Linked DNA regions of Caenorhabditis elegans. The protein of the gene in region 2 purifies or fractionates together with the protein of the main gene of each other region. This does not show direct contact. Each region holds a gene or a part of one and is shown on either strand. Other genes may lie near its edges.

The links. Proteins that work in one complex are often made in the same cells at the same time.
Region 1: the proteins of hzl-1 (region 2) and marc-6 fractionate together in Caenorhabditis elegans (co-fractionation; one large-scale study listed by BioGRID). This does not show direct contact.

What each region holds. Positions count from the first base shown.
Region 1 is NC_003279.8:10,797,676-10,805,634, reverse strand, and holds the start of marc-6 (RING-type E3 ubiquitin transferase), read right to left. Parts: upstream 6,013-7,959; 5' UTR 5,999-6,012; coding exon 5,848-5,998; intron 5,803-5,847; coding exon 5,691-5,802; intron 5,060-5,690; coding exon 4,393-5,059; intron 3,814-4,392; coding exon 3,444-3,813; intron 2,636-3,443; coding exon 1,419-2,635; intron 921-1,418; coding exon 810-920; intron 438-809; coding exon 191-437; intron 1-190. Other genes in the region: F55A3.2 (C2H2-type domain-containing protein), read right to left, coding at 7,735-7,834.
Region 2 is NC_003283.11:12,834,086-12,840,394, reverse strand, and holds hzl-1 (DNA2/NAM7 helicase-like C-terminal domain-containing protein), read right to left. Parts: upstream 4,708-6,309; 5' UTR 4,688-4,707; coding exon 4,629-4,687; intron 4,584-4,628; coding exon 4,442-4,583; intron 4,240-4,441; coding exon 1,402-4,239; intron 1,188-1,401; coding exon 1,140-1,187; intron 1,096-1,139; coding exon 1,021-1,095; intron 974-1,020; coding exon 869-973; intron 823-868; coding exon 790-822; 3' UTR 541-789; downstream 1-540.

The DNA.
Region 1 (7,959 bases), on a different chromosome or scaffold from region 2:
AATTTAATTTTTTAAATAAGGTTTTCAGCTGATAAAAACCAATAAAAAAGTGAAAATGATTGAAATCCAGGTTTTTTGGGGTCTCCTCGGGGAGTACACGAGCTGCGTAAATCAACACATGGCCATTTTTGAGATTTTTTCAATTTAAAGGATCCAATTAATTCTGAAATCCTTCTAGAATCCATTTTACCTGAAATAAACGCGTAAAACTTGATCACAACAACCGGAAAAGCGATAAAAGTCGATAGATACAGTATACATGGGACGACAATCCTCACGAAAACGTGTAACGCCGCAAAATTCTCAATTCCACGTTGCACAAGTAGATCGAGTTCTGTTTTCAGCCACCAATCGGGTCCCATTACAGCAATTACACCGAAGATTTTGATTTGAACAACGCCCATTGCCCAGTCTTGATATGGGAACATTAGTGCTGTCTGAAATGATTTTTTGAAATGATTTGAAGATTTTCTACTCTTTTTTTGTGGCCAGAATATATTTATATACTTTTTGCAGCGAAAAATCATAAACTTTGAAAATTGAAACTTTAAAAAAATTATTATGGAAACGCAGAAAAATGCTTCTTTTGAAATTGAAAACTCTCCACCCCTTTTTTTCGTATTTTTGTCTTGTTTTTCGTTGCTTTCAACGATTATAATGCCGAAATTGATTAAAATATGAATTTTAAACGTTTTTTCGGCGTAAAAATCATTTTAAAAAGACAAAAAGACTTGAAAACTTATGATTTTAGGCTAATTTTTTAATAATTTTTTCTCAGAATTTTCAGAAATCCAGTCTGAAAGTGTTACCTGTTGATATCCCAATCGCATTGGAGTGAAGAAAACCAATTGGAAATAAGTACCCATCAAAAGTGGCAAGACGATAATTATTGGAATTGCAACAAGAAACAGGCGCATTCCCTGAAAATTTTTTATTAATTTTCAATTTTAAATTTTGAATGGATGGGTTTTTTTTGTAAATTAAGAAATTATGGAAAATTTGGAAATTTTCTGAAATTTTTTTCCAAAAACCGGCATCCTTGTGTTGAATGGGCCCGTGTCGATTCACGCAGCTCGTGTACTCCACGAGGAGAAGATTTTACAGTTTTTGTCTGAACCACTTTTTTTCTGAAATTTAGAACAGTAAATTTTTGGGCTAAAAATATGGTAATCGGTCTCAAAACGATAATTTTTGTCACATACGAAATTACAAAAATCGTCGAGACCGGGTACCGTGTTTTTGGCGGAAAAATTGCGGATTCGGTATTGCCTCCAATCTCTAATTCGACTGTCAAATTCAAGAAAAATTAGCTACATCTGTTCAAAATCAAGCTTTTTTGGTAAAAAAAACAATCAACACCTTCTCCACGAGGAGTACACGAGGTACTCCGTAAATCGACATTAAATAATTTACCGTACCAAGTAAGAATAATGAACAACAGCTCTCTTGAACAAGTGTGGTCCTCCTCTCACAAACTTCGTCACAACTGCTCCAAACTTCCCGATTGTCCAACAAACATAGAGACCCAGAGAAACAGTGTACATCTCATGAACATTCGTTTGTCCCGAAACCATTAGAATAATGAAACGTCCAATTGAAGCAGGTACAATGAATACAACAACACTTGATAGAGTTGTTGTCAAAGACATTAGAACAAGAAGAATCGATACACGAACTCCGAATAGTGATGGTCGATTGTATGGCTCGTAGGCTCGGGGCTCGCGGAGCAGGAGAAGAGCTTGATGCTCAGCTGCAAGACCTCCACCAGCTTGATTATTTCCTGCTCTCAATGGATCATTGTTATTATTATTATTGTTCTGATTATTGTTATTGTTATCCGACAACAAATACTGATCCAAATCCAACGCAGCTCCAACTACTTTACACCAAAATCTGACTCCATACTTGATAAAACCACGACCATTTGCATGTTCTAAGATTGCAGGCATCACTACTTGAAGTATCAGTAGTTCCAATGAGATTTCTGATAGTGGAGTCTCTGCGCTCATTGAAACATTGTAGGGTAGAAGTGATGGAATAAGTGATGAGATTATGTTGAGAGGAATGTAGAAGATGAGAAGAATCGTTGAAAAGAACAGAGTTGTAGATACAACAAGTCTTCGGAAATGCCGCGTGAACGGTAGATCAATCATTTCTTGAATTGGATTAAAGTCGGGATCATTTAGATTTCTCATAAACCATAGTACTCCAGGACGCAGAATTTCTCGTAGAAGTATTACAAATGACGCTGAATAAAATACATAAACCATTCCAACCATCCAATGAAGGAATATTGACATGAATGGAGCTGTGGCAAATGTTGCAATTCTTTGTGATAATGTTATATTGAATAATGGAAGTGTACAAACATCCATCCAACATCCACACATTACAGGGAAAAATCCAATTTCCAAGAATACCAGCAAGAAGACTTTAATGATAAGGAACATTATTCCAAGGAATCGATACATCATTTTCATTTTGAATTGGAGCATTATTTGGTGAATGACGTAGGTTATGATGGCTATTTGAATGTATCCAAGAAGCATCGCTACGATTGATGGGAAATATGAAATTTTTCCATGAAGTCCGATGACACTTAGGAACCAGTTTCCAATGCGAAATGGGAAGTACGCTGAAAAGTTATTCAGTTTGAATAAATTTTGTTCGGTTCTTAGCGATTTTTAAGCGGAAAATTTGGAACTTTTGAGCAGGAAAATTTAAGAAATTATCCTAAAAGAATCAAAAAAGCTGCCTGAAGCTGAAGCTGCTGAAGCTGGGGAAATTTCAGATTTTTTCCAAAATTTCCTTTTTCGATTTTTCAATTTTTTCTTTAAAAATTGATAAATTATCTTTTTAAATGTATTTAATTTGCTTTTTTGAAAAACTTGCAATTATTATTATTACCTAGACGCAAAAAATACGGTACCGGTATACGGTATCGACCAGACAATTTTCGTTACATGTGCGCCTTCAAAGAGTACTGTAATTTCTACTGTGGAATTTTCAACGCTAGAAATAAGAATTTTCTATCTACAGTACTCTTTAAAGGCGCACGTTTAACAAAAATAGTCGTGTAAAATAAATAAAACTTGATTTTTAATTAATTAATTTGTTTGTTTTTCACAATTTTTCACCGTTAATTTCAGAATAAAAACAATAATCAAATAAGAATATTCAAAATTTTAAATTTTTTTGAGATTGCAATTTATAAAAATGTTTCTTGTTTATTTGGAATAATGTAAATTTTTTGAAAGTTATTTTTTCAACAAAAAACAAATTAAAAATATCAAAAATCCATCCAAAAAAAACTTTTTTTTTGACTATTTCTTAGGTAATCATTTTTAGTCTCCGCTTTCTAAATTTATAGATATTTTAAATAAAAAAACTGTTAAAAAAAGGGAAAATTCCGCTTAAAACTCGCTACTCCAATTAAAATTTACCAAAAGTAGCAGTAAAAAGTGTATTCAATGATATAACCCAGAATACATGTTCCAAGAAAATCAAAGATCCATCAAGTCCCAATAATCTCTGCCATGTCAGTTCATCACCAAATCGATCCCATTCTCTCCAATTATCTTCTTGATCTCCAGCTCCACCTTGTTCTTGAGCTGCTGCTGCTGCCGCCGCTGCTTCTTCATTTTCTCGTTGACGACGAATTCGTCGATTTGCACGTGCAGCTGCTCGTGGAACTATTGGCTCCGGCTCCATTGGTGGTGGAATACGATCTTCTTGTACATTTTGAAGTACATGATCATTTTCGAGTACTTCATTCTCATCATCTCTCATGTCATCGTATATACCCAGATTTGGCTAAAATAATGAATAAAATTAGTGAATTTTTGAATTAATCTGTGAATTTTGCAAGGTTGCGGCGCGGTTTACCAAACAATTAATTTTACAAAGCTATCAACTTTTTTCAGTTTAAGGTTATTCTAATGTTTTTTTTTCTAAAAAATCTCTTTTTGTGGCTTACATATTTTAGGAAAAAAAGCAATTTGATAATAAAAAAGCCAAAATAGTCAGAAAATCCGTGAAAGCACAAAAGAAACACGAAATTTAATTATTGAAATTACTGGCAGGTAAATTCTGAAATAGAATTTTTGTTTCCTGAAATTTTCAAGTGAAACATTTAGCAATAAGCATTTAATAATGTCCCTGTAGACAAGACACTTATTTTTCACTTGAAAACTTCAGGAAAGACGAAGAATTCGTAGAAACAAAAGTGCGGCACGGAAAAATGGGCGGAGTTTCGAGGCAAAAGCGCGGCAATTCAAATTCGCCAAAGTTAGCGGTCTTCAGGCAACCTAGATGAAGTTTTTTCGTTTTTCAATATATTTTCAGGAAAAAAAACCGCGCCGCGGTCTTGCAAAATTCCTATATCTACAGTACCATCTGCGGCCGGAATCCATGTCTAGCTTCAAGAATATCACGTCTTCTTTCTTCAAATGGTACTCTCCTCCGAGCCACATAAGCTTCACCTTCTTCACGAAATTCTGGAACAGGATCCTCTTCATATCCAGATTCACTATCTTCTTCCTCTTCTTCATCATCCTCGTCGTCATCCTCCTCATCATCTTCATCTTCTTCATCATCTTCCGATTCATCCGACGATTCATTATTCTCATTAACAACATCATCCTCTCCTTCATTCTCTTCCGCTTCAATATTCAAAAAGTGTTGTGGTCCACCGATAATAATTTGCTCGCGGAGCCAGACAAGCGAGATGAATGTACACACAAAAACGAGAAGTAGTAGACTTCCTTTCAGAATATCATTGAAAAAATGTTCAGCTTTGAACAATTGGAATGGTGCATTGACAATGTCATGAAATGATAAATAGAAGATGCAATTATAGATACGGGCGGCTGTTAATGGTACAATTCCAAGCCATGTAGTCATTACAATTGTATATATAATCCATGTTCTGACCATTATTGCTCCTGATATCAAAACTCCACGTAATATTTCAAGAATTGGAAGAGCTTTTGGCATATCTTGTCGATAAATTGGTTGGAATGAATATTTGTGATTACACAGTTCACATACTTCTTTTTTACTGAAAAAATTAACATTTTTAAATTTTTGTTTGATTTTTAGAGAGAAACAAGAAATCAGGAGCTACAGCACTCTTTACAGGCGCACACAATTTGAGAATCGGCCGTTAATATTCCAGATATCGTATTTTTCAGGCAAAATTATCAAAATTTATTTTAAAAAATTCAAACTGACTAGAAAAGGCTGAATTTCATTAACAGACTTTTTCAGAATTTCAAAACCAAAAACATTTAACAAAAACTAGTTGGCTTGAAATCTTCAATTTTACATTTTAGAAGCAATTTTTTTGGTTTTTTAAAATTATTTTTTAGATCTTAAATTTTCAAATTTCTTCTAAAAATCTAAGAAACTACCCGAAAGTTGCTTTTTTTTCAATTTCGAAAGAAAAATCCCGAAAACTTGCCAAAATCTAAAACTTTTGTCACCTTTTTCGTGTCATAGCGACCAGAATTTAATTATTTTAAATTTCTACTTATTTTTGAGTGGTTTTTATCCGTTTTCTTGCCGATTGGCAAACAAAATTGGAAAATTGAATAAAAATCAAATTCCAGCCGCTGTAAATTGGTGAAATCTCAGATTTTGGCTAAATTTAGGCATTTTTTCAGCTATTTTTAATTGAAAATCACCATTACCTGTACTTGAGCCACTCTACTAGACATTCTTGATGTACATATTTAATACTTCCTGTACATAAGCACGGATAATAGAGACTTCCCTCATTTCCACGACATACTCGACACATTACTGGAAAAATATGGATTTTATCAATTAAAAACTTCAAAAACTGACAATGATCATCATTATCATCGATTATTGGATCAGAAGGTGGTTGTGGACACGGTTCTTCTGGATTTGGATTTTCAGAAGAAGTTGATGGTCGATTTGAAGCATCTACACTACCGGCTTCATGTTCCGGTGGTTGTTCATGTTCAACTTCCATTCGGTTTGAGGATTCTGAAAATTAATGGAATTTTATATTTAAAAATAGAGGAAATCGAGTATTTAAAGCCGATATTTCAAAAAAAAGGTTCAGGATTCCGAAATTTATACTTCTAATTCGACATTCTGTAGATTTACGTGGCTCAAATACTCCCGGAGGAGAAGATTTTGAATTTTTGGCAAGGTTGTAGACAAATTGTCGTTTTTAATGTTAAATACAAAACGAATGAGCGGAAATGTTCTAAAATCGATAAATATAGCAGAAAATTGTAAATACCTATGAAAAAATTGCAGGATTTCTACTGAAATCCTGTTTTAGAGGATTTTCGTTTTTTTCTTTATTTAATGCTAAAGTCGCAAATTTATATCAATTTTCCAGGATTTTAAGCAAAAACCAATTTTTATCATTTAATTATAAATTAGAAACTACAAATTCTCGTTTTCCGGAAGTTTTCACCAGTGAATAAATCAAAAATCACCTAAAATGCTTTAAATAAACGATAAAATAGCGATTTGAATGTTTTCTACTCGCGAAAATGATCCAAAATCAAGCTTTCCAGCTATAAACTTTAATTCTTCAAAGGGGGTCCACGAGTTTGAAAAGCTACTGGAATGTTTTTTAAAAATGTGAAAAAATTAGAAAATTGGTGGGAGAATCATGAAAAACACTAAATTTTAATGCAAAACTATTTTTGTCGGTGAAAAAATTGAGAAAATAGTTAAAATTAAAGCTGAAACTGTGATCAAAACAAAAATCGATAAGTTTCTCATGTTGATTTTGAAATTTATGCTGAAAATTAGAGTATTCGAAGCTTCAAAGCGTGATACAGCCACCAACCAGCAAGAGTGTTGGGAAATCGGAGACGCAGAGAGAAAAAGGGAAACCGGGTGAGAGAGTGTATAGAAATGAGAGACAGGATGGTGATAGGATAGAGAAGGAAAGTGCATTATAGCCTAGAAAAGATTATTTTTAACGAAAAATAGAATTTTACTATTTAAAATAATTTCTAAATTCTGGAATTTCTTCAGATTTTAATTTTTTTAAATCAAAATTTAAATTTGAGTGAATTTATATTTAATAAATTATTATTTAGTAAATTCGCGCACTCCTCATCGGTAAACATGGGTACTTTTTCATTAGAAAATAAAATAAAAACATACAAAAATTGTGAAAAACTACCGTAATTGCTTAAAGGCGCACACATTTTCTACGAAAACAATTAATCGTTGCAGGAGACGTTTTACAAAAGTGGCGTGCGCCTTTAAAGGGGTACTGTAATTTATAGACTTTTTTTGATTTTGGATCATTTTCTGTAAAAAACGCTCAACTTTATCTCATGAATACAGTTTTTCCAGTAAATTTTTTAGAATCATTGAATAAACTGATGGAAACGAGAAATTCTAGTTTTTACCAGTAATCAAAAATGAGAAGAATTTGCAAGGTTTTGATTAAGAATTGATTTTTTCTTGCAAATCACCAATTTATCTCATGTTTTCTTTAAAAAAAAACTCATTATCATAATAAATTAATTTCCGGACTTTCAACCGGTCAGTTAACGAAATTCAAAAAAATTTAATGAATAAACAATGAGATGAATTTATTAAAGCATTATAATAATATTATCTAAAACAAAAAATGCAATCATATGACTTGACAGCGAACATGTAAATAAAGTAACCCGTAGCAACGTAATTATCAACGAGAGAAAGAGAGAGAAGAGAAGCAGAGACACAGGCTTAGAGGCAGGTTAGAGTCACATCTCCTTCGACTTTCACACGATATTGTTGATATAGTTGAGAAGACGAGTGTGACGTCATTTCCAGAGGAGTTGGGATACTGAAACAAATAATTATTATGTTGGGAATGGGGATTGGAAAAATTGAATTCGCGAGTCAAAAACTACACAAATAAACTTTTTTTAGTTGCTCGGAAGGCAAAAAGTTTTTGTTCCCGAAAAAAAT
Region 2 (6,309 bases):
GACTAGGTTCCTGATGTTATATTAACCGCTGATTTGTATACACTCCGCGTTTTGCTTCAGTCGCTCCCCTGCCAATCAAAACTTGTCGTACTTTCTCATAAAAATCCCGCTGATATTTTCCCCTTGTTACATTTTACGTTGTTATTGCTTCTATACCCACTTATAGGTGTAGTTTCCAAAAGACACCAAATTCACTTTTCACTTGAACATAATAATAGAAAACCGGAAAGATATTTATTATGCATATCAGTTATACACACACTTTAACTGTAATTGTAGGTTGAAAATACCTCTATTGGTGATGAATTGCGAAGGAGCATCATGAAGTTTTTACAGAAAAATAGACAGAAAATGACGATTTTGAAAATGAACTTTTCTCTAGACAATACACAGTAATGTGTTCAAATATCGACATTTTTGAAATTAAATTGTAATTTGTTGCAACGTGCAAGGTGTCAAATTTAGGAGTTATTGTACTAACTGAAACTTTTTATTTTGTTTTCCATTATTTATAACAGTGTATTGTTTTTTGGGAAGATGTTTCTCTGTTAGTTTTATTGATTATTTTTATCTTTATGCCAGAAAAACAATGGAAAATTAAAAATGGTAAGGTGCCACATACTCTGACAAAATAAAAATAAAGCAGAGTAATTTCAAATCAAAAGACCGGTTTCGTTTTTTCAAGATCCACAAAATATGATGACTCGGAATTTGTAAAATGGAAATTATTGTCAAATTATAAAATACTGGTTTGTTTGTTATTAAACATTCTGCTCGTTAATTTCTGTTTCATTGGACTATAGTTGAACTTGTAGCCGAATTCTGAAGAAAATAATTTAAAAAAAGTAATATTTTATCTCAACTCTACTTTTCGGCCATTTGTGGAATTTTGCCCAATATTGTTCCTATTCCGTCTTCTTCTTCTTTGTTGAGGTTTTGAACTTTGTTCGGTGTCCTCTTTGGTTTTTACAGTCTAAAATATTTATAGTTATAGAAGGAAATGTTAAAAAAAAAACAAACCTGAGAAATTGAGATATGTTTTCCTTCATTTTGATTTTTTTGAATTTTATTCGATTTTTTTGCTGTACATTTAATCTGAAAATTAAAAAATTATTTGAATATCTCACATTCGAACATACCTGAACCATTTGTGGTTGTTTTTGTTCACTGCCACCAAATGTTGAAACCTTAAAAATACATTTTTGCAATCATCAAATTTTAGAATTTTAAGAGAAATTTTTTTTAAACTAATTCTTTCTATTCTGGAGACGTCAACTACGTATTTTGGTTATAGTTATATAAAATATTCTCCTATTCTGGATACTCATTCTTCAGAAAACTTTTTTTGAATAAAGTTTCAAGAAACACAATAGTATTATATGTATTATTAAAATTACTTACTTCCATTGAGCATTTGTTGATCTGTGCACTCTGAGCAATTGTATCCCAATGTTTTGCTTTCTTCAGTTTTGCAATATTTCCAATGATAATAGTCGCTTGACGAGCTCTAGACATTGCCACGTTGACACGAGTTCCTTCTTGCATAAAAAGGGATGGATTCTTATTAGTGCAGCAAACAATCATCACTTCTCGTTCAGTTCCTTGAAATGCATCAATTGTTCCACATTTTACATCAGTTTTCTTTAATGCATCCGCGAGTAAAGATGTTTGGGCTTTATAGAATGAAATAATACCAATATCAGATTCTGAGAGACCATATCCTTTGACTTTCTTAGTTAATAAACTAACAATTCTCACAACTTGATCTTTTTCAGAATTATTTGCCACCGAAGTGCCCATACGATATCCGTCTTTCTCGTGATTGAGAACAAGAATTGGGAAAGATGAATTTGGCCAAATATCAGGGCGCATTCTCATGAATTCGTCTCTCTGATTCTTTTCTACTCCAGAAATCAACTGACCATTGTAAAATAGATCACTCAGAATTTTTGTGGTAGTTGGATGACATCGATAAACAAGTCGAAGGATAGATTGTGGAAACATTTTATCACGAGAAGCTCTTGCCATTGTTTTACCAATTCCATAATCTTTGAGAAGACCTTGCAAATCATCATCACAGTAAGCTGGTAACTGATTGATGTCTCCAACAAGGCCAAAACTTGCATTAGGAAATTTATGAAGTAGGCTAATCAAGGTATGTTCTGGAACTTGGCTTGCTTCGTCGAATTGAATATTTGATACATCTCGAAGAACATTATTTTCCAATAAATTGTGGATAGAATCCGCAGTTGAAACGATAATATCAGGTGCATAAAGAGCGAAGAATGCTTCTTTCAAGATAGCTTGGGAAGGCTTATGTTCTCGTTGATTTTTAAGAATGTTTTCATAAATTCGTTTTGCTTCTCCAACAAGTATTCCTTTGCAATGGTATTTTTGAGTTGATTGTTCGACGATAGCCTTCTTCATCTCCCTTGTTAGATTTTCACCGTTTTCTTTCTGAATTTCTGTGTTTGTGGCCCACTCAAAAAATTCGTCCTCCATCAGAATGGGCATGTCAAGTTCAGTCTTTGAAGAATCCGGAAGAGAATTCCAATTGGACTCGCTAACATATCGAAGAAAACGAATATGGTCGCATTTGTGTAGTTTCAATGCAAATTCAATTAAATTTACTCCTGCATTATTACTTTGAGTTACCAACAACTGTTGTTTGTTGAACGATTCAGAACGCATATACTTTTTTTGAAGCTCAACTGCAGCTGTGACAATTGTCATCGACTTTCCACAACCAAATGGGGAGTTTCCGAGAATCAAAGGAACACCAGAGAGAATCATGGATACATATTGATTTTGGTATTGATTGAGCCCAATTGGTATTTTACTTGGGAATTCAAATTGTTTATTCCAATTGATGTTTCCCGTTGAATTGATTGGAGATCCACCATAAAGTGCAGTTACAATACGTCTACCATTTGACGACGGGCTCATTTTTTGAAGAAATTCACAGTCCAACCTAGGAGTTTCTAGGAATTGTGATTGACTTACAATCCAAGTGCCAGTTTGAAAGTTGAGAAGTTTGTTGTTGTTTTTGGGAATCGTTGCAGTAATTTCAAGTGATTTCCTATTATTTCCAAGAACGACTGTTTCAATAGAAGTTTTCAAACTTTCTCCTTGTCCATTAATTTCTATTTTCTGATTGGGATTCCAACGTCCTTCAGTTGGTTGTTTTGAAGGATTATCAATGGAAAATCGAAAATTTTGACTTTTGCGGTGGATGTTTGTCATTTGAAAATTTCTTCCATCAAATCTTCCATTTGAAACCGTTTGAGCAGCTGAGGAACCCATAATGACACACTTCTGAGCAACTAATACAGACGCTTCGGTATTTAACGAATAGATTGATGAGTTGAATGCATCCACTCCAATTTTGAACATGTTCGTTTGTCTTTCACATAGCGAATGAGTATAGATTGTACCAAGAGAATTCGAATATGATGGTAACTTGGAAGTTAAAGCCATCAGATCTTCCCAGTGTTGTCGATGAAAGCCTTCGGAAAACTTAACTTTAGATTTCTCCGGGATGAAAGCTGTGCCATAGTACATCATATCCGTTTTCAGCTTCTTTCTGTCAATTTCAATCACATCCATAGCTTCCGTATGACCTTCCACTATTGCTGCTCCATTATTCAACATAGCGAAGTTAACTCTGATAATGCTTTTTCTTTGCAGAACAACCATTTTGTTCACCTCCCAAATACATGGATCGTGCGGACTGACGTTTTTAATAGTTGGAGCAATTGAAGGAGCGTTCGATTTCTTGGAAAGTTCTGTAACAGCGACCACATCTCCAGGAAACAACATTCCAATTACACTGTAGTTCTCGGAACCTTTCGTAATTGTCCGATCGTTGACTTCTACAAATCGAAGATCTCCGCGATGTAATCCATGCAAATTGGCGTGACAGGCAATCAGAATATATTTATTATCCTCTGCGGATAAGACACGAAAATAAGCACGAATTCCTCTCTCGTAACTGTATGTTGAGATGTCCCTGAATACTTGACGGGGTTTTGGAGAATTGAAATTTGGTCCCCAGCTGAACGTTCTTGCAGCAAAATTGATGGCATCAGAATGCTTATAACTTTTCAATTCCTTTTCCACTTCAGATTCGATTTCTGTCTTCTTTTTCTGTCTCGAATTTGTTTCTGGAGGCTGAACATAAAACTTGCTGAACGCATTCTGTTCCTTTTCCGAGAAAGTTCGGCTGTAGACTGAACTGTTCTGAAAATTTCCTGAATTTGTACAAAATATAATAGTATATTAGAAAACACTTTTTTAAAATCAAAATGAAAATTCGATAAGAATAAACCTAATTTTTGGTCGTTTCGAACAACTTTGACAAAAAAACTAATTTTCGGTTGTAGGTGTGCTAGACTAATTTTTTTAAAAATGCATCAAAAAAATTGAATTTGTGATTACATACTTGAACAACCGATGATCTATATGACGTTGTTTGTGAAGATTTTATAGATGCTATGTGCGATGTATGATATTGTTGAACGTCGTCTTCTTCTTCTTCGTAATCTCTTCTATAATATGAATTGTTATAGCTGGATTGTACTTCTCTAAAAAATAAAAATTGGGTTTTAACAAAAACTATTCAAGCTTACCTTGTGGGTTCTGATGGTGGAAAAATTGTTTCTAAAAGATCCTGAAGTAATTTCCACATTATCCAATTGTTACCTGAAAATGAAAATTTATTTTAATAAATTAGATTTTTGAGGAAAAAGAAAGACAAAAAAATTTATCGACGACTTCCTAAAGAAATAATTGAACACTGAGATTTCACCGCTATTTTGACTAGAAATAACTTTTTCTTAACGTTTCATTATGATATTTGATCATTTCAGTCCCATAGGAATGGTTTTTAGTCGTTTCGCCACTGGAGTAGTCCACCTTTAAGAACAAATGTCTGCAATTTCTGTAGGTAAAATGACAACATTGTTTTGGAATACACGCGAACATAAAGTAACATATGTAAATATTTAGTTTTGAAAATGTTTGAAGATGTCTTCAGAAATATCAGAAAGTATATATTTATAAAATAATCTCTCAAAATATATGTCGACGTGGTAGTAACAATTTTTGAGAAGAGGGTTGCGAAATATGTATGGCTGTTGCAAATGTGCTGAGGGACGACCATTCGCAAAGTGTGGGGATTTTAAAACAGAGGATTCGGGATAAAAAATGATTTACAAATGCTACATCTTCAAAAAAAAAAAATGTTATGTAGTTCAAGCTGTTCAAAGTGAATTTTTCCAGCATAGACTGGGTGCCAACAATGAAAAGTTAGTGGACGTTTTAGTATTAGCAAGGGCCTCGAAAGAGGGAAAAAGTGCAATGATTTATAAAAAGAGACAGTTGCATGGAAGAATCGATAAATAATCGTTTCCCACATTCAAAAAAATGTTCAAAAAGAAAAAAAAGTCAATTGATAAGAACAATTTTTGAAGTTATTTAACATTTGAGGAGCTTACCAAGTTTTTTGATTATTGGCACATGAGTTCGATTTGAAGATGTAGTTCAAGCTGTTCAAAGTGAATTTTTCCAGATATTCAAATAAATACATTATTTTAAATTTGGTTTTAATTGTTTTGTAATTTTTAGAAGTTCAGCGAAAATACACAAGAATTGTTGGCTGTTAATTAAATAACTAATTTTTCCTGTAAAAGATGCTAGAATTCATCATTTTGGCTATTATTTAGTAATATTGAAATATACCTATTGATGTCCGACATTGACATTTGTCAAATTACATTGACATTGACAAATTAATTGTTTTGATTATAACATTTCACTGAATTCAAACAATTTTGAAATAAAAATTCAAACTTTTCAACAACTTTCAAATTTATAAAATTGTGTACAATCAATTTCAGAAAATTGAACTAATTAGTTGAACGAACTCCGAAACAAACAAATAAATTTTTAAAAAATATTAAATCAATTTTATCGATATAGTTGGTGGTTTTTTCTTTAGTTTTCTGTCGGAAATCCCATTTCTATTTTTCCTCGGAATAACTCGATATTCCTCGTTGTCCTAAATTTTTCAAAATTATACTCACAAGTATAGTATCAAAAATATTAAATTGAAAAAAAAAACAATTACCTGCGTTTGCAGTTTTTGATTTTCGTTTTCCAGTGTTTCACGACGTTGATCATCTCGATTCTGATTTTTCGTTTCTAGTTGAACTTCTTTAGCAACATTTTTTTTATTATTGGCCTTTTCTTCATTCTGAAAACAACAATTTTGCCTTTGCAGGGTTTCATAATGTTGGTTAAATTATTAGA